Schizosaccharomyces pombe: one gene and its partners. Changing the gene in region 4 together with the main gene of any one other region gives a genetic interaction. Each region holds a gene or a part of one and is shown on either strand. Other genes may lie near its edges. The genes, in order: dep1, ypf1, rgp1 and nop10.

What was found.
Region 1: mutations in nop10 (region 4) and dep1 together harm fitness more than expected from each alone (negative genetic interaction), as found in Schizosaccharomyces pombe (one large-scale study listed by BioGRID).
Region 2: mutations in nop10 (region 4) and ypf1 together harm fitness more than expected from each alone (negative genetic interaction), as found in Schizosaccharomyces pombe (one large-scale study listed by BioGRID).
Region 3: mutations in nop10 (region 4) and rgp1 together harm fitness more than expected from each alone (negative genetic interaction), as found in Schizosaccharomyces pombe (one large-scale study listed by BioGRID).

The regions. Positions count from the first base shown.
Region 1 is NC_003423.3:3,797,004-3,805,242, forward strand, and holds dep1 (Rpd3L histone deacetylase complex subunit, Sds3-like family protein Dep1), read right to left. Parts: upstream 4,147-8,239; 5' UTR 4,004-4,146; coding exon 2,528-4,003; 3' UTR 2,182-2,527; downstream 1-2,181. Other genes in the region: vps1301 (lipid transfer protein), read right to left, coding at 1-1,463, 1,515-1,627, 1,679-1,700; cqd1 (ABC1 kinase family protein ), read left to right, coding at 5,194-5,826, 5,882-7,327; mrx14 (mitochondrial 54S ribosomal protein bL34m), read right to left, coding at 7,572-7,898. UniProt on the Schizosaccharomyces pombe protein: Component of the RPD3C(L) histone deacetylase complex (HDAC) responsible for the deacetylation of lysine residues on the N-terminal part of the core histones (H2A, H2B, H3 and H4).
Region 2 is NC_003424.3:4,187,581-4,194,881, reverse strand, and holds ypf1 (intramembrane aspartyl protease of the perinuclear ER membrane Ypf1), read right to left. Parts: upstream 4,622-7,301; 5' UTR 4,530-4,621; coding exon 3,642-4,529; 3' UTR 3,401-3,641; downstream 1-3,400. Other genes in the region: loz1 (zf-C2H2 type transcription factor), read left to right, coding at 672-2,240; SPOM_SPAC25B8.18 (electron carrier protein), read right to left, coding at 2,904-3,269; pop100 (Rnase P/MRP subunit), read right to left, coding at 5,239-7,301.
Region 3 is NC_003423.3:3,851,974-3,862,152, forward strand, and holds rgp1 (protein sat1), read left to right. Parts: upstream 1-4,245; 5' UTR 4,246-4,380; coding exon 4,381-4,723; exon of another isoform or gene 4,724-5,013; coding exon 5,014-6,323; 3' UTR 6,324-8,043; downstream 8,044-10,179. Other genes in the region: rib3 (3,4-dihydroxy-2-butanone 4-phosphate synthase), read right to left, coding at 1-240, 284-401, 450-486; DNA replication factor C complex subunit Rfc1, read right to left, coding at 989-3,542, 3,603-3,662, 3,711-3,829, 3,898-3,969.
Region 4 is NC_003424.3:1,633,125-1,639,820, reverse strand, and holds nop10 (snoRNP complex protein), read left to right. Parts: upstream 1-4,316; coding exon 4,317-4,494; exon of another isoform or gene 4,495-4,546; coding exon 4,547-4,563; 3' UTR 4,564-4,710; downstream 4,711-6,696. Other genes in the region: erg8 (phosphomevalonate kinase), read left to right, coding at 1-282; structure-specific endonuclease catalytic subunit Slx1, read right to left, coding at 322-1,038, 1,080-1,178; SPOM_SPAP27G11.14C (uncharacterized protein), read left to right, coding at 1,690-3,759; SPOM_SPAP27G11.12 (uncharacterized protein), read right to left, coding at 5,079-6,696. UniProt on the Schizosaccharomyces pombe protein: Non-catalytic component of the H/ACA small nucleolar ribonucleoprotein (H/ACA snoRNP), which catalyzes pseudouridylation of rRNA and is required for ribosome biogenesis.

The DNA of each region.
Region 1 (8,239 bases), on a different chromosome or scaffold from region 4:
TGAGGCCTTATAAAACATTCTGTTGCAAAACTCTCAAACCTTTGCTTAATTAAAGGTATTACTCGTCCATTAATGTGAGATTGTATGACAAAACTTCCTTTAGCGATAGAGACTTCAACATTAGCCATACACATATCCGGATCTAAATTTACGGTATCAGGATATAATTGTCCGCTCCATTCTATTGCAGAAAAAAATTCTTTCTGTTCTTGATCAGTCAAGTCAGCGGCTGTTTTATCAGTACTTGCTAATGTATCTTCATCCTGGGACTGCGGCTTTCGTATATACCCAGAAAACCAATCGTACAATCCATGAGCTGCCGAAGTTTTTGGTTTTAAATAAATAGAATTCCTTTCCTCAATCAGAGATGTATGCACACGTGAACGGTACTTAATTAGATCGTAAGTAGAATTTCGTTTCTCTATCTTTTTTTGCAAATCAATTTCTTCCTTTGATATTTGCTCATTCAAATACCTCTTACGAATAATATGCATGTAAGCTATTCTGTCGTCCCTTCTCCTTTTAAAGTATTTCCAAGTCCAGTGATATCTGCTCTCATGAACAGAATCTTTAACAACTAAAATGGCATACTTAAACCACTCCAATGGTTTCTCTTTAGGAGTCGATTTAGGCCTATATTGAAGATAATATTGTTGCTTCATTACAACACGAAAGTAGTCAATAACACCAAGTAAACTGTAATACATATGATCACTTAGCGTAATTGATATTTCTTCAACAGATAATTTTCCCCTTAATTGCATTATCTGGTCTGTCGGATGTCGAAATAAGACAACATGGGCGGTTGCCCGTAGCGGCTTTAAAATGTAATTATAAGCAGGTGACTTTTCTGCACTAGGAATCAGGTTCTTTAAATAAGAGAATATGTCTTCTGTAGTAGTGCATTTAGAAATTTCACACTTACTTATCCAGTATATTGAGAAATAATCAACAGTAATAATTTTATGAATGCAAGAGGAAGGAATTGGATCGGTTGAAAGCAAATATTCGGTAAAACTAGCATCTGTAGAGGTTACTCTTAACGAATAAAGCGTCAATCCAAGAGAATAAGGTTTTTCAAGATCACTCAAATTATCTTCAAACCGCAAGTGAATTCTTTCGATGTATATTTGAATGTTATCAGTAAGTTTGGCAATAAGATACTCAATAAAAGATTGTTTTCTACTTATATTTGGATTTGATGAAGACTCTTCTAAAGTTTCTCGAAAATTTTTCCGTAAGATTTCAAAACTATCCAGCTGTTCCTGCTTTAAAGCTTGTTGAGATTGCTCCAACTCATCGCGTGTTAAAGAGTTTTTCGCTTGGGGATGAATTGACAAATATATGTCTTCAATATTGATCGTTAAAGATTTGTTCCGAAGATTCGACCATGGAATTTCCAGCGTAAACGTGCCAATTAAACCACTAGTGATTTCAATGGGAATTCCGAGTTTATCTAAGGCCTATAAAACAATTGTCAGTGAAACTGCAATCAATCGTTCATTTTTAGTTACCTCAGGTTTTATTCGTAAATTATGCAAACTAACATGGCCACCCCAAACGCCGATGTTTAGTTGTTTAGTATCCAAGTTGTCAACATACGAACCTAAAATTTTGTTCAAGAGGCCTAATTATTTTATTAATATCAATGTCTTTCAAAAAAAGGTATAATTCATACCGGCAACTAGGCCTTCTAACATGTTTGTTGGCTCTTTGACACTGAAATTAGGTAAAAGGCAGTTGGCATCCGACTTGGTGAAAGTTAGCAATGCAATTGCGAATAGAGGAATGTTTTGTTGAAAAAGAAAATCTTTTTATTCCATTTATACATTTAACAAAATTATTCAATATAAAAAGAAAACGATTATGAGAAGAGGAAACTTCATTTCCGTATAACGCACCTTTTTATCATCAAACGGATTGAGTCTAAGTGAAAGGAGTATTACTTTACTTATTTGAACAAACTAAATCTTTTTTTTTTATTAAATCAGTTAAATTAAAATCCTTCAAATGTACATAGGACTTGTTTACGGCGCTAAGTGCCACACCATTGAATGCGTCAACAAGTCAGCTTTATCGAACGATAAGTAGGATACTTTGCTTAACTAGTTTTGATTGCGAAGCACATGATTATTATCAAATTTAAACATACTTAATTGTTCATAAGCAAATTTATTATAAGGCAAAATGAGTAAGACGGATAGCTGTTACAAACTTAAAGAATCGCTGTAAAATTAATTCATTAGTTAAGTCAGAAACAAATACTGAATTAAAAATATTAACCGAATATGTAAATTCTAAAGAAAATGAAACAAACGAAGAGCGAATGTGTTATATTATCGCTTAGAAAAAAAAAAAAAAAAAAAGAAAATACATTAGAATAGATAACGAAAGGCAAGAGTTTTAACTAGGCTCTGAAAAAAAAAAAACACTCTTGACACCGTACCAAAAAGGAAATTGTGTGTCAAAATTGAAGTAAAACGTGAAGGAAATTAGGAATTATCGCGGGGAATGAGGATGCTTGAAATTAGTCTTGATTTTCACTGAGGCATCCCATTTCTAAAAGGTCGTTGCGGATGTCATCAAAAGAAGCTGTTTCGATAATAGGTGCTGTCGGAAACCCAGCAAAACTATTAAGCTCACACAAAACTGCAGCTTCATATTCAATTCGTTGCTTCTGTAACAAGGCACTTTGGCGATATGACATGGTTTTTTGAGTAATATATGTGGGATCGTGAACAGATTTTTGTTTGTTTAAAAGCTGAAAGCACTTCGTTGCAATTTTGGTTAGAAGCGCTTGTCGTATTCTTCTTTTATCAAACAGTAACTGATACTTCCTCTGTTTCGTTACATAGTCCATTACGTTTTTTATATTCCCAAGTTGTTTCATGAGGTTTTCAGTAGCTAAACGCACACGATCATCTCGCCGCTCTGTTATAAGATCAATGCAGGCATTAAAACGCTCATGGGTTTCGTTTTGTATCATTTCCTCATGCTCGTTCAGCTTTAACAGTTTCTTCCCATATAAACGGTTTCGTAAAAAAGTAAACTCCGTTTCTATATTTAGCAAAGCATCAAACGCTTCTTTCCGTTTTATAGCCTTTTCATCGTCAGCTTCATGAGCCTGTTCAGATGCGGAACGACGATCTGCAATCTCACGATCGGATTCCTCTTGGCTGGTCTCAAGAGCTACCCTTTTTATTTTGCTCTCACTGTTAGTAGACCATTTTCGAGAAACTGTTGCACGTTTACGCTTTCGACTTCCAACGCCACTTCGAGGACCACCTTTTCTGGGTGCTTCTAAAGTTCCACCTCTTTGTGGTATCTGGTGGTCAGAATCTTCGGTTCTTTCAATATTCGACTCTTCGTCTTCTTCCTCCTCATGCTCAGAAGACTCCTCAAGTTTCGAGTTGTGGTTAGTCTCTATGAGTCCATTGTTGTCATTGGTAGCTTTTTCTTCAGACTCAAAGTCAGATTCCTTCAATGAAGGACTAACAATGGTTATATTTGCTGTGTTTTCCATCTGAGGTTCCACAGAGTTGTTTACCAGTATGGTTCTGCCAATTGCACTTGAGTCACCTAAGTCCTCAGTGACTGATACCGAACCAACTAAAGATGTTTCTTTCTCTTCATCTTCATTTAAGACTACAGTTTCTGCCTCAGATACATTATCATGATCTGTTACCTCTAATTTAGGAAGTGACGCTAACTGATGAGTTGTGAGGGACGTGGAACTGTTCAGTTTGTTCACTGGCGAGTTTTTTTCAATGATTTCAGAATTTTGAGAAGGCAATTGAGGTGCGATAATATCCTCATTAGCATTGGTCTCTGGATTAGATAGAGCCGAATCAACAACCTGCTCACTTTCAGCGATCGAATTATTTATTCGTTTCTCTGAATCTTTATTTTTAGGAGAGCTTTTTAAGTTGTTCATTGGTAAATCAAAAGGCTCCTTAGGGAGTATTTCATGGGGAATTGATTCCGACTGCAAATTTTCGGTCATCCTGAATTAATTCTTCAACTTCGTTCAAAATACCCTCTCGTAATTTACAAATGTCAGAATCTAAAAAACAGTATCGTTGATTTTCGTGTGTTTTCATTCAATATGTATGTTTTCGAATGAATTGGTAGTGTTGGGGAGAGGATGACATTTGATAGCTGGGCATCAGTAATAATATTCATACTCAACTTTTACACATCCTGTAGGGACATCTCAAAATTTTGAGCCAAGAACTTAATAATTTGTTCTAAATTAGCACTTCCAATTTATACTTTTATCAAGAATGGGTTAGGTGAAATATTCTCAGTCAACTGTTACTCATCAATGAAACTTGGCGAATGAACCATCGTCGATCAAAGGCTTTTTATTAAATCAATCAAAGAGTCTCTATAGATAAACTCTATGCTAGTCTCTGAGTTAACGGCAATTGAAGTAATGATGGTAAAGCTTTTTAATTCAGTACAAACAATTCCATTTTAATTTCAATTTATACTTTATTTTATCAACTGCTAGCGATTTTACAATTATCTCTCTTTGGCAGCAGAATACTACCATGAACTGATTATTTAACTTATTTGAATATTACCGATTATAGGTGTATAAGGAAAAAAAATGTGATTCCTATAATCAGTCATTTTTTATATTTTAATAATCTTCCCTTCAATTAGAACTTTGAAATTTTGATAAATTACATTTTATTGGTAATAATGAATAAAAAAATGTTTCTTCACGTACTAGATGATCATATCCAGTTTATCATACTGTAAGTTCAATTCTATAGAATCCAAATAGGAACTGAGCATTAATTAGTCAATATTTTATTTATAAAATGAAAGAATTGATTATTATTACAGTCTTCATTTTGGCTAACAATTATTATTTTTCTTTCTCCCAGTCACAAGTAGACAGCGTCATTCGACGTTGACACCAATAGACACTAGTGACACGTAAATTTGAGCAATATTTTTGAACTGGTGCATTCTTTATTTTCAAGATATTAAAGGTTGACAGGGTTTCCTAAATTCTTTGAAACACCTCTTTTAGTAGCTGCTATACACATTTATTGAACAATTCCTATTTTCTTTATCAGGTTTGCCAGTGTTTTCAATCGAAAATACCCATTGTAATTAGTTTATTTATTTTTTTGATTCTTGATAAGGAAATGCTCTTCTGAAAGTCAATAATTGGTGAACATGATTAGTTTTTCTCACTGGAATTCTCACATACGTTCGGGACTTAGTCTAAGCATGATTCCTTCTGCAAACTCTCGTTTTGCTTTCATTATTCAAAGAAATTATATTCCTGTCGTTAACTCGCAGAACACAAGATGGAAAAGGTTATGCGGGACACAGTCAGTTTGGTCACCATACAAAAAAAAGCACGTACTGGTTAATCGATTGAAGCATATATCTTTATTCCCCAAACCTATATTTGCAAGAAAGTTTACAACCCGACAAAAAAGTGAAGACCAGAAGCAATGGAGGATACTAAGGATTACATTTCTTGTCCTCCCTTTTACGGTCGGAGGATTATGGATTTTATACAGAGTCAAAAATCGAAAGAATAATATTTTCTCCTTTGACGAACTTGAATTAGAAGAGAGAAGCAATCGACCTCGTTCTATTTTTGGAAAAATAAAACAATTTTTTAATATTCTCCTCAGGTCATTTAATTTATTTATTATTTTCTCTCCAATTATTATTACCTTACCGTTTATCGCTCTTATTTCTTTCCTGCATCTTCGATCTTTGTCGTCTTTAACCGTATCCATTTGGCTTCGTTTCCTCGTTACTCAATTAGAAAGAGCAGGAGCAACGTTTATCAAGGTACGTTTTGAATTTACGCTTATCATGTTACTAACATTATTTTTTTATTTTGCAGTTGGGACAATGGGCTGCTTCACGGACAGATTTGTTTCCTCCTGCTTTCTGTAAAACACTGTCCAAATTACATTCACATGTAACGCCCCACAGCCTTGCCTATACTCAATCAGTCATCTGCAAGACTTATAAAGTGGAATCTATCGAGGAAATTTTTGTTAATTTTAACCCAATACCTATAGGTGTTGGAGCAATTGCTCAAGTCTATACGGCTACCATCAAGAAAGCAGCTACGCAGCAAGATAATTCCTACTTTACAAGTATGCTACAATCTATAGGGTTTCGACAGAAAAATATCTCTGATGCGCCAGTGACTCAAGATGTAGCCATTAAAGTTTTGCACCCGAATGTTGAAAAATACATTTCTTTAGACTTACAAATCTTAGGTTTCTTCGCAAAATTAATTAATTTGGTACCTTCAATGAAGTGGCTTTCTCTGCCCGACGAAGTTAAGGTATTTGGGGCAATGTTAAACCAGCAATTGAATTTACATTATGAGGCGCTTCATCTCAACCAGTTCCGTCTTAACTTTAGAGGAAATAGATATGTTGAATTTCCAGCTCCCTATGATGATTACACGACTAATCAAATCCTACTAGAAGACTATATGCCGGGTATCCCATTAAGCGCGTTCCTCAAACATAAGTCAGGACCATTTAACAAGTTGTTAGCTAACACAGGAAATAATGCATTATTTCAAATGCTTATTGTTGACAACTTTACACATGCTGATCTTCATCCGGGTAATGTCCTTGTTAAATTTTACAAAGGAATCCCTAAAACAATCTTTAATCAAGATAATGAGATTAATGACTCAATTTATAAAATTCTAAGTACATGTTCGACGGAGGAATGGGATTCTGCTATGGAAGAATTAAACATCTTGGGCTATCGACCGACTTTAGTATTTTTGGATGCTGGATTAGTAACGAAACTTAGTACGCAGGATCAGAAAAATTTTTTGGATCTGTTTCAAGCCGTACTTACTTTCCATGGCTATGAGGCTGGACTGTTGATGGTTGAAAGGAGCAGGCAGACAGAACGCGTTATAAACAAAGACATATTTGCTCTTAAAATGGAACATTTGTTGAATGAAATTCAAAAGAGCACGCTTTCACTGAAATCACTTCAAATAGGAACTATATTACAAGAAGTAATGACTATGGCGAGAGAGCATCATGTTCGAATTGAAGCAAATTTCGCAAATACTGTGCTATCTATCCTTTTAGTTGAAGGCGCTGGACGCCAACTATATCCAGAAATGGATCTATTAAGTAATGCTACACCATATCTTCGTTCTGCTTCATCGAAATCCAATGTCTCACTCACAAACCCAATGGTTCAATTATGGATAGCTTTAGAAGCTAGACAATTTTTGCTTTTAAGCACCTCTAAAGAAACGGTAGAAAAGTGGGTTAAGTCCGATATGATCGCACCCAATATATAAAAAAATTACGGTTTATTTTATAAATGATGGAAAATTGTTCATGAAAAATATAGTCGCAGACATGGAAAATAAATTTTATAAACTCGTGTTTTAAAGAAGTTATTAAAGTTCAAAGTTCAACAAGTAAAATTAAACAAAGAACCAATGGAAAGAAAATGTATCACAAACTAGAAAGCATTACTTAAATGAAGAATTGATAGAGGTTACTAATGCAAATTAGAGCCCATTAAAAGATAATATGTACTCAATGGCTCAGATACATCCTCCCTTTTTGTCTTCGATCTCGTAAAACACGACGACCGTTAACAGAACGAATTCGAGATAAAAATCCGTGTTTTCTTTTACGCTTTCTATTTGAGGGTTGATACTCGTTTCCATACGTTTTCCAACGCACTTGCTGCATTTGACCGAAGATGTTCATAGTCGGTAAAGAACTGTATAAAGTAGCGGTATTAAAAGGGTTTCTTGTCGGAAACCCTCTCATAGTTCCTCCTCCAGCTAATATTGAAATATTCCTGGCTCCCTTCATGGCAGGATGCAACAAATTTCGAAATTGTTGCATAAACATCATAAAGCAATAGGAATGAAAGCAGGTGACTGGATTTCAAGAGAAAAAATTTCAAAAAATAATATAAAAATTATATATGAACGTAAATGTGCAAAATGAAGAGATTTGAGATGTGATGGAGTAGCTGGTTATTAGAAAGGTTGAAGTGAATCAGTGTAGCACCGTTTGACATTCGAAGTGTTAAATTTCAAATATTTGTGTTACAATAAATTAAAATCTTTGCTAAAATCCAATAACTACGTTTTAATAGTTTCATTCAATTCACTGGAATGTCGGTAATATAATAATAATACTATTATTATTAATAAATAGTTCATTAACCATTCTTTATACGCCCTTAAAGA
Region 2 (7,301 bases), 2.6 Mb from region 4:
GAGCAAACAAATTACTTTTCGTTCCCTTTGTTGCTGCATCTCATTTTAATTTTTCTGTATTCTCCTAGTTTTTTTATTTGTGTTTCTTGGTTCGTTGGAATTTGGTCACGTGGAAACGATTGACCATATTTTTTTTGTCCTAGAGCGCCTTTGAGTTGGTTTTTCTAGTTTTTTCACTCTTTCCTTCCTCTTCGTAAAGGTTGTAGGAAGTTTTTGTTTTTTCTTTGCTTTGTTTGTTTGTTCCGCTCACTCATTTCCGCTATTTATTATAAAAAAAACCCCCAAAAAAAAATTTACTGTAGGGTTAATCAGTCGATCAATTGCTTTTTTATTCTTACATTGATCATCCTTGGATCCCGTTATTCTTTTGTCTCTTGCATTGCCTCTTTTAATTGTTCTTGCTTTGGCTAAACTGAGATATTCTTTTACTTCGTAGGATAGCAATTCTGTGTCAATCAAATATCGGACACTTTCACCCCTCAAATATAGAGGACTTTCTCGTAATATCGTGTTCAATCTCACGACAGAAATTAAATATATTTAACCGAGTCTCATTATAACTCACTTTCTATCCAGTGACGCTTCTTTGCTACTCCGAATAGAACGATCTGACTTACTTTGGTTCAGTTCAATTTTTTCATTTCTTTAGGCTTTTGCTGTTTTTAAAAGTGATGAGCTCAGATAACACTCCTTCAATCAATAGACGTAATAACGAGAACCCTCCTCAATCTTCTCTTCCCACTACTTCTGGAATAGTATATAACATGTTTCCTGCTTGTCCATACCCACATGTGCAGAATCCTGCTTTTCATGGCTCGGTAGATGTTCCACAAGTAGCTCAAAAAGCTTTCGATCCTCAAGCTGCTACTGTTTCGGAATCTGCAAATGTATCTCGTCCAACACCGGCACCAGTTCCTCCTGCAGGTAATACTAACACCCCGACTACTTCAAATTCTAATCAAAATTTGGAGAACAATGTCACATCAGCCGCAAGCATGCCTGCTATCCTGAATGCTGCCGGTCAGTTAGAGTTTTCTCCTTCTACAAACAACGCACTTTGTTGTTGTACTACTGTTCACGGCCATCCTCATATGCCTCCAAACCTCTTGGCAGCATCAAGCGCTCGACTTAGACTTCCTCCCATTTCTACTATTTTAGGTGGGACATTCGCCGACCCGACTTTCTTGGCAGCAGCAGCAGCTGCTGCCGTCCCGCATTATGCTCACGCGACTACAGGCTCGGCGACTGATGCTTCTAACACTAGTAATGGAAACTCTAATCCGGCTGCTGTTCCTGCTGGATTTTTGTCTGGTTACTCCCCTCTTTCCTATGCATATTTTGTTGCAAAGGCTAACGAACTGGCGCTTGCTAATCAAAGGCAATCTTCTGAAGCTGCAGAGCAGCCTAGTTCCAAGAACAATACCTCAGGCGCAAATCCTCCGTCTTCTAATAATCAAGAAGTTACATCTGCTCCTATTCCTGCCGCTCCCATAGTACTTCCTTTTCAACAGCCATTTTATCCAATTGTATGTCCTGGATGTGCTCAGGGTGCACTGCCCCAGCACATCCCTGTTCCGCATAATACAGAATTTGCACAGTATCAACCCAGCTCCCGAGATCTTCAAAATCATCCCACAGTCGATGAATCACGTCTTTCATCGGTTGCTCCTCCTGCAAGTAATACTTTAAATCATGCAAATGGTAATCAAGCCGAAAACGCTTCCGAAAGCTCAACCTCGCAATCAAATGATTCTCAAGGCCCGGCAAACACCTCTTATCCAGTCTCGGTTCCGCTTCCTAATGACGCTGAAAACAATCACACTTTATCCAGAAATCCATATATTCCTTCTTTAAATTTCAAGGATAACATGAGCGCGGAACTTAGTGTTGTTGCTACTTTGGCTAGCAACAGCGCGCAGGCTCATCCAATGGGTCAGCAATCTGATTCAAATTATTCTGATCATCACAACAACGATAAGAGAGCTCATGTATCGCGGCGACATTCAACTTCACGCAAAATTGCACAATCCCATACCGGTTCTTCGTCTACCTCTTCCGCTGCCAACGTTCGATATAGATGTACGGAATGTTTACAAGGATTTTCTAGGCCTTCTAGTCTAAAAATTCATACATATTCCCATACAGGAGAAAGGCCGTTTGTCTGCGATTACGCTGGATGTGGAAAGGCGTTCAATGTACGCAGTAATATGCGGCGACATCAACGCATTCATGGTTTGTAGCCAATTTTAACCTGTCTGATAGCAATTATTAGCCGTTACTTGAAAGCCATTTATTGCGACTACTACAACTTCTGACGATATTAATTTCATGATATATAAAAATTTATTGAATAAAACCACATAGCAGTTGGCTGCCCGCACCCTTAAAGAATATATAGCATTACCTTCCGTTCCTTTTCTTTTACGTTTTGTTATCGCGCGTTTACTAGAGTTTAGTTTAAAATAATTTTTTTGATTACAGTTTGCGTGTCACGTTTCTCATTTCCGTTTAACCTACCTAGCTTTAACATATGCTTAAAGTCTCATTTTATTATGATTCGAAGAATCTATTTTGAGCTTTCTACTTCCGAAATGTTCTTTCATTGTTAGCTAATTTATTACCCTTAAAAAGTTTTCTATCGTACAAATATGTGTTTACTAGCGAACTCAAGATATCAATCAATTAAGTCCATTCGAAAGATCTGGCAACGAACGACATATTAAGTGGATAAAAAGGAATTTCTGATGAATCCTATTACAGTAACTATTGAATATGCAGATATAATAATAACAAAATTTTTTATTATTCGTAACTTGAAATGCATCGCATTTCAACATCAGTTGAAAGGATGCTCATAAACTAAAATGATACGTAAAAATCGGTCGTTGGAATAAGAGATATTTTTATAAAAGTTTAGAAAAGTCGCGAGTTTGGAGAAGGATGGAATATGGACTAACTTTTCCCTTATCCCAATCCACAAGGCAAGGTCGTCGAAACAATTGATTATCATGCTGGTACTTTGTCAAAGCATCTTCAATAGACGTAGCACCTGCGACAAGTAAATCACTTTTATCTTTACCAATGTTAGAGAGCATGATATTCAATTGGTCAAGGGTTGGGGTAGCTGTTTCGACCTGTAATTTAAAATGAAGCATTTGATTATCCGTTTTTTCACCTGCAATCATATACTCTGTTAATTTTTGCTCAACTAGCGTCTGTCGCTTTTTGGTAAACAGTGTCAATATTCTTTTCGTGGTCAGACCAAACATTTTAGGAGAAACACAGCTGAAATTCACTAATAATCAAAATTATTTATTATTTCAAATTTTAGACACCAGAGTCAAATAATTGCCGAAGGAACAAAGTGGTATAAATGCACTATGCTCAACTCTTTAGTAGTGATTTGGAGTAATTTAAATTTTGTAATCAAATACTTTTTATTCTAAAATAAACTTTCAAAATAAAGGTTTTTGCAAATTTCTTGTAAAAAATTGAATTGAGGTAAGTGGAATATCATGGTATATGTATAACGTATATACATGGCAAACTATGGAAATACGGTATGGCGAATAACGGATGAGCGTGAAGTAAGGAATGGGTTTTAACAAACGAATGTTGAAATTCTAAATCAAGGACCAATTTTAAGTACTTTTACATTTATCTTGTTCGTCAGTTTCATCTTCTGTTTCACTACGAAAGGAGAAGAGTGTTTTCAATTCGTCACGATACCAAGCAGTTAGTAATGGAGCGACAATACAGGCAGGACTGAGATAAAGCAAAGCTGGCTGTGCTGCTTTAAAGTAATATAATGCAAAATTTGTAACTCCAAGGCCAAGCCCATAAGCTATAAAGGTATTCCGAAAATATGTCGAGTGCTTCTTAGGCTGGGAGGTAGAATTAATATAGTAGTGAAGATCGAATCGATACATTAACGCAAGCATCAATCCAGGCATGACAATGTCACCCAAACCAAGCATCGAAAGCCTTGTAGGGTTTTTGAATTGAGGAAGTACATACTTAGCTGGAATGTCAATTCCAGTAGCTACCGTCACCATGACTTCGGTACCAAATACAAAATAGATATCGTAGAAGAAAAGGGCACCAAGGAGAAGCGCACCAGTATTATACGAATCAATTCTCATAATACTAATGGAATTAGCAGCTAATGCCCATGCCAAAATATTGGATGCCATCCAATGTTTAGTTTTAAAGTAGAATAATGCAATGGCAATTGAACTCATGGTTGCGGTAATTTTTCCAAATGTCGTTTTTGGATTAAAGCTACGTACAAAACATATTATGGATGCTAAGCTTGCGTAGCCCTGTAGTATCAGCTGAATATATTCTTTACTCAGATATCGAAGTGCCAAATACATCAGAACAAGCGTAACTCCTCCAAAAATAGGAAACAGCACAGCTAAGCGCTTATTAATAAGTTGTTTTTCTTCAGGTTCTTCTTCTTGGGCAGACCATTTCGCCCCTATATAAACTGTAAATAAAGCTGACGAAGCAAGTATTACTCCCTCCATCTTTTGTAAAATGATGAACCAAAGGAAATCCAAAAACTTATCCCCTTCAAACCTCAAATACTCGTGAAAATATTTCCTCACGCGTTTGCAATAGTATAAACAGTTGTCTAGGAGGATACTGTAAAAGACTCACAATAATTTAAATGCTAACAGTGCATTATGTCAGATAATGAGTTTTAAGGTAACCTGATGCAACAAGCAGTTAATAGTTTGTATTTTGAATATGTTATTAGGCTTTTTCGAAACTAGTTCATTCAAAACCTCTAAATTAAACATTTTCTTCTTCTCTCGAGCATATAGGTGTGACTTGAATGTGCCATTAGGTCCCACAAAGTCATGCATTCGTTGCGTATTATATGTGTAAACAAAGCAATATACTTTATATCGTAATACATTCCCATAAATATGTTCTAAAGAATAACGGCATGAATAAATGAATTTGAAAAAGCACCCTTGAATTCAGTATTATCTACGGCAAAACGGAAAATTTGGTGATCGGTTTATAACTTTCAGTTGACTGATCAGTAATTATATTTAAGCGTCATTTAGCAATTATTCTATTTGAAAGCATTTCAATTTCACCAATTTTTAGTTAGTTGCATCCAAGAAGATGCCAACAGATATAAAGGAGTTTTAATTATCAGTCATATATAAAAGTAACACTTTTTTTATACACATGGCAAAATTGGAATGCAGTCCTCAAATCTTTTTAATGAGACTGATTAAACTTCCATTGTGCTAATCGTGGGACGCTACAACCTACGTTGCGAATAATACAGTATCCGGATTTCTCATTTTTAATCGTTTTGGCTAGAACATTGGCTATACCAGAAGGTTTGCCTGCATTCAAATTGAAATTTCCGGTCGTGACGAATCCTATAATAGCCGTCTCGTTTGGACACTTTGGGTAAAGCAAATTTTCAGCAGTGAGATTTTCTTTATAAATGATGGTCTTCCATTTACTAAGTTCATCGTCACTAAGACAATAAATTCGAGCCCGATCTTGCAGGCTACCTCTTTGCACCAACTGTACTTGAACACGTACTAGCTGCAGAGTTTTATCTTCATCTCGTGAAGCCTTAACCATCTCGTTTAGATAAACCCAATCACAACAAAACGGGTTACCTATTTCTGAAAAATTATCTCCGAATTTTTGATAATTTACGCGTTTGGCAGGTGGACGTCTTTTCCAGCTATCTTCATTTCGTTTTTTTCTTTCCTCTTCGCAAAGTTGCCCACTAATCGTATCTGGATAATCAATCGGAAAGAAAGGCATTCTTTTTTCAAACGCAATTTGGTGCAAATTTTCTAATCCGCCAAAACGTATTCCTTTTTGATACATCATCTTCCTCCATACAAACTTGGCATAATCCCAAGGCAAAATAACAGTGAGTCCGTTCCATTCTTTTCTATACGTAATATACACGGGTATAACTTCTTTTTCAGAAGATTTTTTCTCATGAGTATGTCTATTTTTATTCTCAAAAACTGCAAAAGAGGGTATTTCCTGTCTCTCCCAATACCTAAAATGAGTGCTATATTGGTTTGCAGATGCTGGTAAACTGTTTTCAGCAGAATCTAATAAGCTTTTTTCTCCCTTTTCGGATAAATTTTTATCGCAACGAGTATTAACTAATGCTTTCACAGATATCGAGGCGCCCATGGGTAAGCATGCGCTTGAATAATTGGAAATCGACTGCCAAACTTTTCCTGCTTCATCTAATTCAACGTCGTCAAATACTTTGTGGAGCATAATGTTGCTATCGGGTCCGTGAATATCAAAAGATGCTAGATCTAGTCGCCAATCGTGCATAGCAATGCGATCATCCAAAACAGCTATACCAGATAAGTAATTCCATGCTTGTAGAAATGCAGATGGATGTAAACGTATAACTAACTGCACACATTCGGTAGGATTTTTTACAGGGATCTGTTTTTTGTCATCTTCTGTAGGGTTATTCCATTGTAGAAAACAAGGGCATATGAGCTCGTGTATGTCAGACTTCACGAGGTAAGATGTAAATGATCTAGAAGAATTCAGAAATACAGGAGGCAGTCCGTTTGCAAAAGAATTTCCAAACTTTTCTTTGAGAGCTTCGTATGGCCCGCTAATGCAAAACAATGGTTCATAAGACATGTCGAATGCAATTGCATCTTTCCGAAAAGCTGCTCGATGGGTAGGACGATAGGATTTCTCAGTCGGTTTTTCGGGAATGGCATATCCCCAAGCATTTATCATGTGTGCGCGTTTGCATACCCATAAATGAGTGGGAAGCCATACCTTCCGAAGTTGACGACCAGCAAATTTTCCACGTATTAACTTGACGGCAGCCAAGGACGGAATTCGCGAATCATCTGTAGAATTGTCTGTAACCAAGCTTCCCGTACTGTCAATTGCTTTGGTTTCACCTGATTTAGCTAACTTTCTTCGCAAGCGTTTGATGAATCTCTTTAACCGTTGTCTGGAAGGTGCAATGGGCAAAGTAGATGAGGAACTGAGTTGCATTTCATATAAAGCTCTATCCCTTAAACCTTTAGGTATCCTTTTTATATTATGAGAAGCTGCTCTTCTTCGTAAACATCGAGGAAGAGCTTGGAAAGCACGCTGAGCGCTGGATTCTTTTGATCTTTTCATAGCATCTTGTAAAGCCGTTATTTCAAAACTCCTTGATTCAATGAATTTTTTTAAGTCTACAGCACCATTTGAAAGGGCAGGTGATTCAACCTCTATGAATCTAGCATCAGCGAGCTTTGACCTTTTGACGTTTAGTC
Region 3 (10,179 bases), on a different chromosome or scaffold from region 4:
GCTCTTAAGGGAACAATGTGTCCTGGTCGATTAAACTCACGAGGAGAAGTTACTTCTGGATTGGCTAGCTGTCGAGTCGTTAATGCACGATCGTGAGCGGATATTCCAGTGGTAGTACCGTTGGCATAATCCAAAGTAACTGCATATGCTGTTCGCATACGATCCTCGTTATTATCTACCATCATAGGAATTTCTAGAGAATCCAAACGTTCACCAGTCATGGGTACGCAGACATACCCACTATTTATTAGCATTTCAAACAATTCCATGTCGTTTTGCATACCTAGAATGCCTGACTAAGAATGCCATTTGTTCGGTAGTAACTTTGCAACCTGCAATAATCAGATCTCCTTCGTTTTCACGCGTTTCATCGTCTAACACTATTAAAAACTTTCCATCCCCTTGTCATGATATTAGCGTTTTATCTTTTTAAAAAGAAATATGCTTACGAAAGTCATTCACTGCTTCCTCAATTGATGCAAGCATTCTGGTATTTGGCAGCTTTTCAGATGCTCTCTGCTAAGTTTACTAAGCACTTAGCTCACCATAACTCTGATAGTTAACACAGCAATGTAGCGTACTTAGATGAAACGATATAATTATTAATAATAAAAATAATTTTATACATTTTAAACCGCCTGTCAATTAGCTTTTATTTTACTGACTCAATTACAAATGATATGGTTCACGATAGCTTTATTGAAAATACCACTCACCGAATTTTTAAATCTAACCTTGCAAATACGGTCATGCTAAATATGATATAATATATCTTATAAACATTAAAGTATGTAACGGACAAAAGAACACACATTTAAGATTAAGAAAATTTGAGCATATCTTACCAGAACTGTAAAATCCACCAAAAAATCTATATTATTTACTATTGTTGCAAAGTAATTGAAAAGTATTCGCAAATTTCACTTACTCAGCAATATAATCCCGATAACTCATATACAATCCGTAAAAGTAATATTTTCAGAGCTTTTTAAGCTGTCTTTTTTCTGGATCGGCGACTGGTTGAGCTAGAAGAGGACGCTTCAGCCTTTGCCTTAGTCCTTTTTTTAGGTTTCTTTGGTACCGAAATAAATTTGTCTTTGCTTAAATCTATGTCCTCTTCATTAGCAGCCTCTGAGTCACTAGCTTCTTCTAACATCTCATCTTCGGCTTCAATTGCATCTTCGACATCCGGCACTTCGCGCTGAGCAGAGCCCTTCATAGGTAAAACATCACTACTTCCAAAGAAGGCGATGGGGTGACTCGAAGAATTGTATTTTCTTGTGAATGCAGATTTTGCAGCAGTCGGTATGGTTTTCATGAGTTTCTCACCTGCATCTGCAGGAAGAACTAATTCCGTTATTGAATCAAAATCTTCACGATTTAGATAATATTCATCCATCAATTCAATGATTTCTGGAACGACGTCTGAATGGCCTGTTGATAGCTTTACAGGCAGAGACTCATACAATATTGGAATATAATGCTGCCGCAAGTCCAATTTATTAGCGGATACTTTTAAACGCATGTGTACTTGTATCTCACGAAGCATACGATATAATTTATTTGTCTTCGAGTTATTACCCAACCAATTAGTAAAGCGAATCTGCCTGGAACCGGAACCAGCCACGAAAGAAGCAGGTCGCACGCAAGACATAAGAGCATGGGTTGGCATAAGTGACCAGTGTTGTTGAGGACCATGAATCATTGAATCAACAAGATCAGAGTCGGAAAAGGAGTTAGCAGCACTAGATATTAATTCTAAATGCTTCAAATGTGACATTTTCGGTGGTTCTTGACGAATTCTATCTGGTGTAGTATTAAGGTAGTTTTCTTGAACCATAAGATAAGAAAATTCGTGATCATTAAAATACAGCTCTAATTTATCATTAATGGTGGACTTGCTTGATGGATGAAACATTCCTCCATGTAAGTAACGACTACAGATATCCCATGGTTTCATAACGATATGCTTTTCAGAATTTTTAATAACAGCTTGGCTATTTTGAGGTGTCATTTCTGAACAGCTTAACTTGTAAGTGGATAGCAAATTAATAATTTGGCGCATATCGGACTGCGTCCCCTGAACCAGTTGATCGACTGCTTGTGGTGACAATTTGAGACCTTCACGATACGCTATAGACATTATTCGGGATCGCATTGAATTAGCATCTGGCCGACGGAAACGGAGGTCAAACGTAGTACGGTCAAGGGGCCGCAGCTTTGGATGAGCACGGTCATTGCAAATACAAATAATTGGTATCATGCTTTTTTTAATAATCATATTCAACTGACCAACGCCTCCACGATCACCCGATGACATGCCATCGATTTCGTCCATAATGAGTACAAGTCGGGACTTTGCCATGTCAACGGGGTTAGCTTTTGTGCCAAAGTAGCCGGCAAGTGATTGACTATCTGTCACACCGAACAGCTGCTCATCTAGCAAGCGCTTGCTTCTAGTGTCACTAGCGTTCAGTTCCAAAACATCGTAACCTTCTAATTTTGCTACCAAATGAGCAGCAGTCGTCTTGCCAATACCTGGAGGACCAGAGAGTAATACGGCTTTGTATAGACCCAGACCATCAGGTCCAGGTTTATTAAAGTTGGACTTCCTGTTTTTGTGGTAATCCTGTAGCCACTTTTGAAGTTTTTGAACGACACCCTTATTACCACAAATATCCTTTAAAGAAGTTGGCGCATATTTTGAAGTCCATATCTGTGAAGGTTGTGATTCCTTTTTATTACTATCGTCCATTCTCGCAACAGTTTCAAGGATTTTCTTTTCTTCTTGTTCCTTTTTCTGTTGAGCAGCCTGAGCCGCAGCACCCGTTCCTCCTGAAGCAGGAAGATGAGTTATAAGATAGAAGAGTCCATCCTCGTTAATAGCAGGAATCTTGTGTTGTTTAATTGTTTCCACTTTTCTTGGACCAGCATTCTCACCTAAGAGAATAAAGTCTGTTCTAACAGAAGGTGCACCTGTCACTTTTCCACCATATTGTTTGATCAGGTCTGTAGCCTCTTGTCTAGTTAAAGTCTCTAGAATTCCTGTAATAACAAAGCTAATTCCCGAGAGACAATCGCTATTGCCTTCAGGGACGGGTTTTGAGCCTGGAGTTTGTGTTGTAGCCGCCCGTTCATAGAAAGTACCTGGAGCCATCACACCCATAGAGTCTACGTCAATTAAAGGAACATTTTTGAGGGCTTGGGAAACTTCGTCTGAGAACCTAGGTAAGCCTTTCGACTTGCTAGAACGACTTGTGTGAGTTGTCGCAGTTGTGGTATGAGATTTTGACTTTGAAGTTGTCGATTTTTCTGCTTTAGGTTGAGCAGGTTTACGTGTAGCTCTAGTTTGATGGACAACTGGCTTACTGTCTGAAGTGGTATCCAAGTCATTGGCAAAATTTTCTGTTTTTACAGGATGTACGACATCTTTGGAAGTAGTAGTTTCTTTATTGGAGATAATCCGCGGTTTAGAACGTGACCGAGTAGACTGTTGTTCAAAGTACTCATCAGGTGTAGTTGAAACTCCATCTGAACCGACACTAAACAAAAATTCAAATTAGCGAACAACGCATAATGAGGTAAAAGTAAAATAAACATACAGTTTATCGTCTTCATGAACAATGGATGGCAAAGAATGGGAAATATCTTCCGACTCATTACTAGTTGGAGGGTTAGAAATATAAACTGATAACCCGAATTAAACGAACCGTTTTTGCACTTTGCTTTTGGATGCAGGAACTTTTGAATTCTCTATTGTACCATCTTCATCATCTGATAAAACGATTCTTTTTTTCTTCAAACTCCTTTTTGGTTTTGGGGAAGTAGGCTAGACAAAGACGTTAGAAAATGAATGACTAGCTTATCAAATTTGACTGATTGAAGAAACAAACATACAGTCGGTGAGACTTTTGGCTTTTTTTGAGCGTTCCCTCCTCCAAAGAAGCTTCGAATGTCAGAATTACTCATTTCCGACGATGAATAACAATTACCCAATTCCTGAGAAGCTACTGTCTAACTTCCAAAAAAGCAGTGTATGTATGTATATTGGGCGACAATAGCAAGGAATGTGACAATTTGCCAAAAGCAGAGAGTTAACAAAGCTTCGTTAAAACATTCGTAAATGAGTAAATTAAGGAATAGTAAGGAGAGTGTAAAAAATTGATTGTGGGCGTTCGTTATTTAATCTCGTAAAATGAGTCGTGGAGGAAGAAAAGTGGGCTCTTTTACAGTACTATTTTGATTGTGCATTTGTTACGAGACTAATAAACGTTCGTCAATACGAATGAAGAAATCCAAGTTGTATGGTTATTATTAAGGTAAAGCTGAAGCCAGCGGCTTGAGAAATTATCGAATATAAGAGTTTAGTGGTGTTCGACAATGACAGAATGTGATGTGCAAATGTACATGCCAGTGAATGTAGTTCAATCCGGAACTGACTTTGAGTGCATTGTAAAATTCACGAATCTAAGGAGTTCAGAAGATGTAAATTTACTTTTGTGCTATGCTTCTATCCATGGTGAAATGTACCTTGACTATGTACTGGTGCGCGTTACAGAATTCGATGAGGTTCAGAGGCAGGGGCTCTTAAACAAAAGGACAATGAGCGGATTAGTACATATTCCCAAGGTATCCAGCAGTTATTCTGTTATTAATACTCTGAACGGGATGATTGGAAATTTATTTGGAGTTAAACAAGCAAGTACATTGACAGAGGCCTCAGGTATGTAATGGTGAAAGGGTGCAAAAGGAAATAAAGACTTGGTAAAAAAAATCTCTCAATTGGCTTACATTTGGAGGGAAGATATAGCTCGGAAGAGTGCTTATACGGTGAGGTGGACATAAAGTCAATTGACGAATTACAGAAAGGTTGTCTGGGAAGAGTTTTGTAATTCATTTGAAACATATTTACTCTTTATTCAATTTTTTTTTTTTTTTTTTTTTTTTTTGGAAGATGGTTACTCTTATTTTTACTGCAACCTACTGCTTAAGCATGAATACTAACCGATAAAGAACAAAAGCAGGAAAATGCCATTCCAGTGCTACTGACTCGTCCAGATATATTAGGAGTCGATATCACGCTTTCTCCTGGAGAGGAAAAATGCTTTCGGTTGAAGCGAAGAATTCCCCTTCGAACAGCACCTACATATAAAGGATTGGCCTTTCGATTTCAACACGCACTGGTCATAGGAGTCCAATCAGCTACCAACAATGCTTGTGTAGAGCATGAATTTGAAATTACTATAGTACCCAACGTTCAACAGCAACCTGAACTGCCACTCGGAAAGAATTCGGGAAACAGACAATCCTCGAAGCTGTTTGCAGATTTATCCAAACCGATTATTGAAACAGATGCGGCAGAAATTGAAGAGGTTTCAGCAGAGAAAGCACGTAGGCAATTCGGTAAAAACGGTATACGACTTTCGCAGGATGCGCAGGAGGAAGAGAAGCAAAAAAAGAAATACGAGCAACACATAAAAAAGCTACTTGATGGAGAGTCTAATGAAGAGGGAGGAGGAGAATTCCAAGATCATGGAATGAGGTCAGAGATCAATGAAGAAGTATTAGAGGAAGAGGATGAAGAAAAAATTGCGTTGTTAAAAAAACTCGAATCCAAGCAACCAATGGCCACGAGGTTTGAGATTACAAGCAAACAAAAAGTGTTATGTCGATTGCTTTTGAGCAAAAGCAGATATCGGACAGGAGAGATGATGATGATTGAGCTAGAAGGACTGGACGCGATGGTTCGACAAGTGCATATGCAACTTGAAAGTGTGGAGCGTATTGTGCCAGACATCCGTATACGCAACAGCGTAGGGACGGAGAGGGCGACGCGAAAAGTGTGGTGTAGAATTACACGGGGAGTGTTTGAGTTGGAAAACATGAGCGCTTCGATGGTTGTGCCGGAGGAATGTCCGGAAACATTTGAAACACAGCAATTTGGAGTGGAACACTTTTTGCGGGTGGAATTGTTAAGGGCGGTGAACAAGAAACGTGAGATGCAGGGACCGGCGCATCCCCGATATAGTGAAGAGGTGCAGAGTCCGAGTCGATCGAGATACAGTGAAGAAGTACAGAGGGTGAGTGAAGGTAGATTGAGCGAAGAGGTAAGCAAGGAGGAAGAGAAGAAAGGAGGGAGGGAGAGCGGTCAGCACAAGCGAATGGCATCGCTAACGAATTCGCGAGAGATGCAAATCCAGCATGCACCGACAACGTTTGCGGCAGAGACGATTCAATGTGTTTTGCCGATTCGAATTGAAAAGCGAGTTGTGTGGATGGAAGATGGAATGGAAGGAGGGATGGAGGGGATGCAACCGGTTTAGCCAAACAATTGAGTAATCCGATCGTTGATCAAATCAAGTCTCAAAAAATTTTAACCAGCTCATACTCCAACCTTGCTAACGTCTGCGAGAATGGATGATTTCGCTTTTGCTTTCCATTTTGAAAATTCAATCCATTACCGCACCGTGCTCTCTCTCGTACTCCCCTCATTGTGCAGTAAAGTGGGAAGCCACGAAAAAAGGATATAACGATTGTTTGTGAGAGAGAAAGAACGAAAGAACGATGGATGATTGAAAGTGTCGCTTAGTTTTAAGATAACGACAATTCCCTTGATTTCGCAATTCTCCTTTTGGGTACTTTAGGCTCCCCTGGCTCCCTAACGATGCTTTCTTGTAGCGCTGGCTCTGGTGCGTGTTTTTTTGCGCTGATGCTTGATATCAATCATGTCATTTCATTCTATGCATTTAGGGGTTCGGACACTGAGTGTCACGAATGCAATCTATCATACAATATCAAATTTCCAATCTCTCGGTAACTTTGTATGCATTATTAGCAGACAAGTGACGTTTTATGCAGTAGTAGCAGTTTTTGCAATGGAAGTAGTAAGCCAGCAAGCAAGGAATGGAAAAGGTATGTTGTATGTGTATCCCCCCTTCCTTGTCTGACCTGACTTGGCCTAACCCTGTCTTAACGCAGCCTTGGCTTTCTTCGTTACACAATGCTATTTCTATTTTAAGTGTGTTATACTGGGTTATGCTATTCTCGAAGCCAATCTTGCCAATGTGAGCAAGTGAGCCAATCTCGGAAAAAACCTCCCCGTTCCTTCCTTTACCGCCGTGCAGTGAGAGGTGACGTGAAATTGAGATCATTGGTGATTGGGAAGATCAGATGGTTTTGGTACGACTTTTCTTAAAATTGCCATTTTGTCCATACCGTCAATGCCAAGGAAATTGACTCGATATCCGTTTCGGAACGCCCTGATACTACGTCATTTTTCAGGGTAGGGGTGAAGTCAGTTTTCTCAAGGGGGCACTGCCCCACATGGGCTCTAATGGACATCGGTGTTTTTTTTTTTCATCTTGCGGCACCAGTCGAGTCAGTTTGACCAAATTGGCCTTGAAAGATGACTGACCTCTTATTTGTCGATGACAGCGGCCCTCATTGACGATGACGACACTTTTTTGGAATGAGTGAATAAGGCGCGATAGTGTTTTCTCCTATTTGGTGATATGGAAACGGTGCGTTTTTCTACGCGCATCTTCCGAAGAGGTAAGGTTTGGCTTTCGAGACCTAAAAGTCATTCTCCTATCAATCGCGTCATGTTAGATTGTTGATGGGCCTTGGGCAGTGGGAGGTTCTTGTAGGGAAAAATAGCACGTTGCAAGAAGGACGAAAGAGCACAAGGAGGAGGATCAGAGAAAGAAAGAAAGAAAGAAGAAAAGAACAAATTCTTGCGCACTTCACTAAATAGATGGTAGCGAAACATATAAAAGAGGCTAGACATAAGAGAAACGCTAGACTTGGGAGAAACGCTGGAGGTAGGAGGAACGCTAGATATGGGAAGAGTTGAGTAGGGAGAGAGAGTAAAGAAAGAATGAAAAGGAAGATTAGAAGAAGAAAGAGGGATAGAATAAAAAGGAAATGGTTTTATTCCTGTTGAATGATTGAAATAGTTGTATGAATAGATGCAAATAACTATCATTAAACATATAAATAGATGCAAATACAAATAATACTAATAATTTAAATAATATTAACAATACAAATAATTTAAATAATACAAATAACTATCATTAAACATCTAAATAACTCGCCAACTAAACATCCAATTCCTATTTATAAACATCGAAACAACATACATCCGTATAAGAATGAATCTTGAGGATCCTTTTCATTATAATAGTATAGTTTAGTAAAGTAAAGTATAGTCTAGTATAGTATAGTATAGTATAGTATTTTCTTTTCTTTTAGATTTCCCCTTGACATTATCGACTCTTTTCTTCGTTTATTAGTAAAGCATGTATGTTACATTAAATCAAATTTCATTCGGTTTTTCTTTTTCCTTTATGTGCAGCGCTCAACAAAGGGACAGGGATGCTATGGACTAAAAATCGTGCTGATGGAAGCGGCAGACATTACAACGTCACCTGCAACGATGCCTTATCATATGTGCGTACGTGTGCAAATCGAGAATGGGATCGACGGACAAAAGAGATGCAATTTTCTTCTCGTCGCAGTAGGAGCGAGCATACAGCGATCGGGTGATACTTGGAGAATCAAGTAGGGACGAATGAAAGTGTGTATGAATTTGGGGAGTAGTAGGAGTAAAATGAAGAGTAAGGGGGACTAGTAAAGAGTCATGGTGGCCGTAAGAAAAGAATCTCGTATAATAAGAAAGTTTTCATATCAATAATATCGATGCATCCAGGTTGTAAGAGGTCGTCATTCAGAAAGGTAAGATATTGTCATGGTCTTGGTCATGCCTGCCCAAATGTTAATGTCACTGTCGGCTCTCGCAACTCGTAATCACTTATGTGAGCTTACTTTAGATACGCTGCCCATGTGGGTCTAGCCAATTTACTGAAATACATTGAACCCTTTCGCAAAGTTCGTTCCACTGCACTCTTTTTTTTTCGTTTTGCAAACTGCTCTTGTCATCCATCCATCCTTTCATGGCTAAACTAATTGAATGGAAGGGGATGGCGTGGAAATTGCAAAGCATGCATGACAGATCAAGTCAAGCGATGTGCTTTGAGCGATACGTTTTCAGCAATGTGTTTTGCGCTAGACTTTTCGCTGCCGCAGCACTTTTGATCGATCGGTTCGGTATTCGGTGGAGTGGAAATTGCCGTAAAGAAATTTCACCTTTTTCCATCATCTCATTAAGAGTGTTCGGTTTCGCATGCTTTTTTTTTTTTTTACTTGCGCATTTGCTTTGCATCCTCCTATTTTGCCTTGTGGCTGCTTTGGACAAGCCATCCCATCAACCAAAAGCATATGCAGTGTGATTCGTTGGTAAATTTTCTTTTTTCCTTTTTACTTTCTTTCTTCTCTTATCTTGCAAGTAACACGATGCGTTTTGTTTACGTTGATTACTTTTGTCTCTACTAGCGCCCTGTGCTAGGCTCAATTTTGCAAGCGGTGAGCTAACTTACGCTACACTATATATCCTCAACCAACAGAATGGGCTCAAAGACGAATAGAGTCGTTTGTTGCTTTGTTCATTTCGCACTGTGGAATACAGTTTCCATAAAGTCGCTTTTTTTTTTTTTTTTAAAGTAAAAAGATTTTTCGAAATTGTTATTGATTGAATGTTTCTTTTTTTTCTTCTTTTTTCTTTTTTTTTTTAAATTCTATCCAATCCAACTTTTGTTATTTTTCTCCTTCTCTCTATTATGACGCTTCCCTCCTTTTTTTACTACCAACGTAACCGATAACCCCAATTTCTTCTTTATCCCCGTCTATCCCCATTCCTTTCACACTCCATCTAGTTCCTTGTTGATGAATAATAATCTTCTTTACAAACAGAAACGCTTGAAATTCTCCCAGCTCTCTTGACTCACCCATTTCATCCAATCTCGCCCATCTTTCTTCCTTATTGTGCGCTCTCTCTCTCTCTCTATCTATGCCTTCCCTCGCCTACACATTTTGCCTTGTATCGCCCTTGTCCTGCATCTCTCTCTTTTGCGTTATATTTAAAATACGAGCTCCAAGCCGTCGCCAACTCGTCAGCCTTACCTTACCCTGTCTTGCCCTTGCCTTTGCCTTTTGTCATAACACTCCCGTCTTTGTTACTTCGCTCTCGTGAAAACGCGATGATTCTCAGGTGACATTTTGCGAGGTCAAAGTTCCGTTTGTGTTGCACCTGGTTGTCAGCATTCACTTTTTACCTCTTTT
Region 4 (6,696 bases):
CTTCAAAGTCAATTTCGATCCATTCGTCGTATTCTTCAAAGAATTACCGTTGAAGCAAAGGTTGACATAGAACCTTTAAAGCAAACAAATATTTTAGACAACATAGAGCAGTTGCCTGGTGTCATTGGTGTGGGAGTTCCTGGAGCCGGCGGATTTGATGCACAATTTTGTTTGGCCATTAACCATACGGAGATAATCGAAAATGTTATCAAAACATGGAAAGATGATGGGGTAGTACCCATGGACGTTTCTCCTGCTTTCGATGGGCTAGCCGTAGAATAAACAAGACTAACTATAGAGATTGCTGACACAGTATTGGCGCTATTTTTCTAGTTCTAGATCTATGATTTCTATTCTATTTTCGCTTTCAAAATCTCGTTCGTCAGTTTCTAAAGAAGTAGTGAAAACCGTAGACAGGAACTCTCTCCATCTCAATACTCTTTTGCATTTTGTACACATTCCTTCGATTGGAAGAACCTGGCATTCTTCTGTCAGAAAACTGCTTGCAAGGCAAGTTAAATGATTTATTGAATTGCAATCCGTAAAAGGGCAATTAGCCCGCAATTCATCAGATTCGATACATTCGTAGCATAGGTTACACTTAACAGGCTCTGATATTGTCTTTCTTAAACATAATTTATGATCGTAAGTTTTTTGGATTACTTTTTCGTGAAACCCATTTAACCATTCTTCGTCGAAGTATACATTGATATTACCATAAGTTTTACCAAGTTGATTCCATTTACTGAAAGCAGTTTTATTTAGAAATGTGATGTTTAATGGCCATCTTCTCCACGTATCACTGTCAACCAAATGCTTTAAACCTTTAAGACAATACATAATGGTTTTTTGTTTTTTTGAACGGAAATCACAATCTTTAGTGTACCTCGAGATTCCCAGATTTTGCCAATTCCATTCGAACTTTAAAGCAGACACTTTGTTAGGAAAGCCGTAAACTAAACATGAAATCGACCAAGGGCGCCCGTGTTTAGTTTTTGATGCACCACCAACTATTTCCCCATTATGTTGCCGCAATCGCTAAAACAAATTAGTTTCCTATAATAGCACAAAATACCTACTCTAGGTGGATCTGGTGTGGAACCGATATAAACAGCTCCACTTGATTGTGTCCTATTCGACTTTAGTAAATAACAGCAGTAGAAATTGCACAAATCCATGTTTCATAATTCTTTTCGATAGCACTTTTCTCTTAACCCGTGGTAATCGAACAATTAACTAGTGGTAATTTTATAAGCTTGTTAAGTTAATTAATTGAAAGTATAATCTAAAAGTATTTTTTCTTTCAGCTTTGTCTTCGAATAATAGTAAGAAAACAATGTAAAACAAAAGGTCACCGTTACTGTCTTTAGGGTTATCCACGTAAATCTGTAAGATTAAATTGTTATTTGACGTGCTTCATTACTTTCTCTTTCACTAAGGATTATTTATAATTCAAAAAAAAGGAAAGAATTACTGAACCTATTTAAGCACCGTCTAAGCGTGTTTTTTTTGTTGTATTAAATTCTCAACAAAGCTACTTCAAAGGACCTACCTTGTCCTCTCCTTCATATACACTAATTAAGAAATCTTTAGATTTTTAATACTCGGTCGTCAATACTCAATGATTGCTAACAGTATACGATAGTTTTCTAAAAAAATCCAGAAAGCCACCTTTTTGAGCGGCCCGTAATGAACTTGCTTTCTCATCAGCTGCGCGACAGATTTCCAATCAAAGCAATAATATCGAAGGCCGATGAGGTTATTTTTGCAAATTATAAGCATACTAATGATTTCTTCAAAATTACAGCAACCACCTATGCGTTGATAAATTCAGTCATTGTTTCAAACAATTGCTGCAATAGGCGATTTCACTCAACTTGGCAAAAAAAAAAACATGATGACCTTACTGCTACAGTCCCCGTCATTGATTTTAGAAAGAACCAAAAACTTACATCTATTGTTGTAAACGCAATTCAAGCTATCTATTGGTATGCCAGACGATCCAATTGCTTAACTGGTATAAATGAAGCTGAATACATTTGGAAGAGCTTGATTCCTGAAAGCATTTTTTACCATTTTGTTTCTCTTCAAAGTTTCATACGAAAATATTTGACTGATGTTTTTTACTGTTCAGCTCAGAAAGTTATTTTGCTTTCAACTGACGATAGTGTCGTATCATCTGAAAAGTTGTATATAAGGATTGCTTCCATACTTTCCAACGCCAATGACAAAGTTTCTTTCAAAGAATCATCAATCAATACTAATACTGTCTTCAAAGATGTTTACGTTGAAGTTAGTTCGCACAATGACGAGTTTTTGTTGAAAAATTCATCAAAATGCTGGGCATTCACAAGCTTACTCGTTGATCCTTTGCACTTCATGTTTTCTCAAATAGTTTTTGAAGATTTATCCGGTAAAAAAATCATGAAATTTGAAGACACAGCTGTTAGCACAGCAAGCAATCATTCAAAACAATTCACGAAAGGAAATTTATTAGCAATTAAGTATATTGGAGGTCTATACAACGCTGTTTACTTGATGGGTTTAAAAAAAAACTTGCTTGCATTTGTAGAAAATGAAAAAGATGACTTATTTGTCGCAAAAATTTTTTTATTAGCATATTCATCTTCCAAAAATCGAAAGAAAATTGTTCCAGTGGACGTTTGGGATGCCATGATTGACTCTTTATACGAAACAATAAATGTCGAGGAGACAAAAAAAGAAACTTACAAGTTTACTCGAAGCATAAAAACTGTGATTCCTAATAAATTAATATCTAACGAGTCAATTTCAATATTATCTATTCCTGAATCAGAAAAGACTATATACCAAAATTTTGATTTATATGTTTCAAAGTTTAACGTCGCCAGGAAAGAGTTATCCGAAAAAGAACTTTTCAATAATTCTTTTTCTTCTTCATTTAATACGTTGCTCGCTAGCTTGTTGGTTAAGCCAACCTTATGTCTGATTTCTTATTTAATGATTGCAAAAAAAATGGTTGTATTACAGGAGGCAAACCGCTTATTTCTTAAATCATTTGCCCATCCATTCCATTTGGAACGATACCATCTACATGCTGTAGCTGCAATGGGTGGTCTGTATCAAATTATGTCTTCTACTCATCTGAAAAATTTGTTTTTCTGTTCCAGGAAAGGAATCGCTCTGACAAAATTACATAGTCAGCAATACAATGAATCAACGTTGTTTCAATACTTGTCAGAATTTGTTCATCAGCGACAAAAGTCGCTTACACCGAAACAGAGAATCGCTATACAAGAACTTATTTTAAAATTTATGCAAAGAAATTTTGAAAATAGCCTTTACCACCAATCATTCAGTTCGCACTGGTTTATATCTCGACTATTGATCAACCCGATTCGAATGCTCTGTTGGCATATTACAGATGTGGGGAAAACGCTGGATCTCGGAGAAGCAGAGAAGTTACTAAAATATAATCACAAACAATGTCCGTACATAATTTACCCATCAAGCTTAAAGGCAGTGCAAAAGTTAGGTGGATTACAGTGTATCATTAGGAATGATAATTTGAGCCATATATTCAATTGTTCAAGGAAATATATCAGAGTACAAAGATATTCTGACGATGATTTATCAGAATCCAGTCTTCTACCGCGGTTGGTTAATTTACTTTTGTTTTTTGAAAATTCAATGGGGGAGGTTGCATGGAACAAACTTAGTCAAACGTTAATGGATATGTTTGAAAAGGAGACAAAGAGCAATTCTTTGAGTGATTATTAAAGCAAAGACATCAATTAATTATCTATCTTAATTAGATGCGCAATAAAAAAAAAAAAATAATATTTCCCTAAAGAAAGACAATCAAAAACGAACTGCTTAAAATAGAGGTTTAACTCCCTTGTTTAATAACCCATAAGTTAAGTGTACTAAGGTGCAATTACTAAATGTTCCAAGCAAACGTATGTTAAAGATGTAAACTAAATAGTTGGATCTGATTTGGTCAATAATTAATCGCATTTTCTTAATAGCTGAAAACTCGGATTTTAAAAGAAATTATTTTATTCTAATTTATTATAATGACAATAGCTGTTTTAATTTTACGAAGATTGCTATATCCTTAACCCCATATTGCTTATTCTGCTTACAGTATTGTTTTTAAATTTTAGTGAATAATAAAAGAAGAGAGTCGCTAAATAATTTAATATTTGATTATGTCTGTGTTATAATGCTTTAGCGTAATTTAGCAACAAAAACAGTCACCTGAAGTTGAGGTACTTTTGACATTTACACCTTTCCAGCACCATAGGAAAATTGTAATATCCGTTTTTTTTTTCACAATGCATTTGATGTATTATTTAAATGATGAGGGAAAGCGTGTTTATACTTTAAAAAAGGTATCTCCAGATGGAAGAGTCACAAAATCTTCGCATCCTGCTCGTTTCTCTCCTGACGATAAATATTCTCGACAACGTTATACTCTGAAAAAACGGTTTCATGTACTACTTACTCAATTGCGTAAGTATTTCTATTAAATTAATTGGTATAATGATAGTGTTCTAACGATTAGCTGCAAAACCTTACTGAGCAAATAAGAAAACGTCGAAAAATTTTCGCCTTTAGAAGGGAGCTACATAAGTATGGTTTTGGTTAAATAATCAATAGTTTTGATTTTTCTTTGGTTATGTGAGTAGTGTGCTCAATTGAAAAAAAAATATATTTCAACTTGAGTTGATTTTCCGATGTTTATTGCGAAGCATTATTTGTTTGGCATTTGCATTTATTATCTATTAAACTACAAAGAATAAATCCCTGGTGTATACATAAAATCTTTTAGTAAATGCTAAACAGTTACTGAGAATGTAAAATAACGATAAAAGTAGTAACATACTAGTGGTAATTCTGAATGAAAAACGAAACAACATTTTTTTAACCAATTTGTGAAAAGAAATAATAAAAAAATAAAACAGATGTAAAAAGCCAAGTATCTATTCAAACAGACTCTTTGAACATACAAAACTTAGGATAGTTCAAATTTCTCCATTTCAATTCTTAAAACGGAGATATGCCGCTCAAGCATAATCCTCAAGGAGATTTCAAGTCTAAAATGAGTCAAATATTTTGACATCCGTACCTTCAAAGATGCCTGGCCCTTCTCTTTTATGACTGTCTAAATCGCATGAGACTTGCCAGGCGAATAGACGAGCAAAATTTGCCAATTGTTGTCTCCATTCCTTTGTTCTATATTTCGGAATGTATGGTTGATTAGTTGCTGGGTATTTTTGAGTTTTTATCATAGCCATGATTTCTGAAGCTGGATGACCGGCTTTCTTCATATCACTGATTTTGAGAGATAGGTCAGTGAAAATATCGAGCATAGTTCGGAAGTTCAGCGAAGGCCACCATTTATTCCACCATTCTACAGTCGGCTTAAAAGTGTAATCTACTGAATGAGCAATTGGCTCTACCTTCGCTTCGTCGGTATCTTCTAACGAACGGTCATTGCCATGGAGTGTGGCACTTTCTGTAAGAGCTCTATGTAATTGAGGACGTTGCTTCAACAATGGTTGGACAGGCCTACTATCCCTGTGAGTACGTAAAGAATTGGAGCGAAGTGCTTTATCGAATCCATCAGTAATTTCATCTTTGCTAGTAACGTCTTTGAGGTTAGTGAAACCAAATTCACTACTTTCTATAGGATAATATGGCGTTGGACTTTTTGACCTAACATATCGAAGTCGGCTTAACAATATGGAGTCAAACGCTTTTGAAGAAAATGTTTTACCATTGCGAGTCCAGTATGCAGAATCTCCTTCCGCGGATGAGTTTCTAACACTCATAATGGCATCAAACGATAAAGCGCTGACCGCTTCAATGTAATCTTTGTGCATTGAAAAGAAGTATAAGAGTGGTGCATTGTATTTTTGGGCATATTGAATTGCATTGTTGATAGCTCCTATAACATACTTTAAAATTTTGTGATTGACGTCGTTAGAAATTAAAAAGCCTGGATAGGAAGCAGATTGAAACAATTCAAACAAACTCTGGCTGGAATGTGAGTTTAAATTTTGCGCGTATAAACAAAGGTAGCAAAGCGAGCAGCAAAGCATTTGAGCAATCTCGGAATGATAATCTTTAGTATATTGCACTAGTAATGAAATTGCAATAATGGTAAAATCTGCGTAAGTACCACCTTCGAAAGGAACTGGCATGCTAATTGGTAAGGCGGTCTGCTGTTGAAATGGCTTGTTTAAGCGCTTACAAAAATATTTTTCAGCGGTCAAGCGCTTTAACAGAATTACACAAAGCTTTAAGTGGTTATAAGTCGAAGGATCTCCGAGATATTCAAAACTTAAATATAACAAAAATATAAACAAATCGATTGCTCGATCGGTATCAATAAGATAATGAAAAAACCTCTCGTTATAATGAATAAAAAGTTTGCAAAAAATTAATACAAGAGGGTAGTAGTCAAACATAATCAATGAGCTTCTTTTTGGAATGGTAGATTGCATAGGGGGATATAACAGTCTGCTCATTCCATCAAGGATGATTTGGAAATCTGAATAAGGTTGAAGTTTTGAAAGCAGAATGCTAAAATAGTTTTTTGGTAATGTGTTTTTTGAAGAACGGTAATTATTATAACAAGGAGTGCCGTTGTTGTTTTCTTCCGACATTAGTATGAGTAGGACAGAAAAACAATACTCTATCAAAGACATG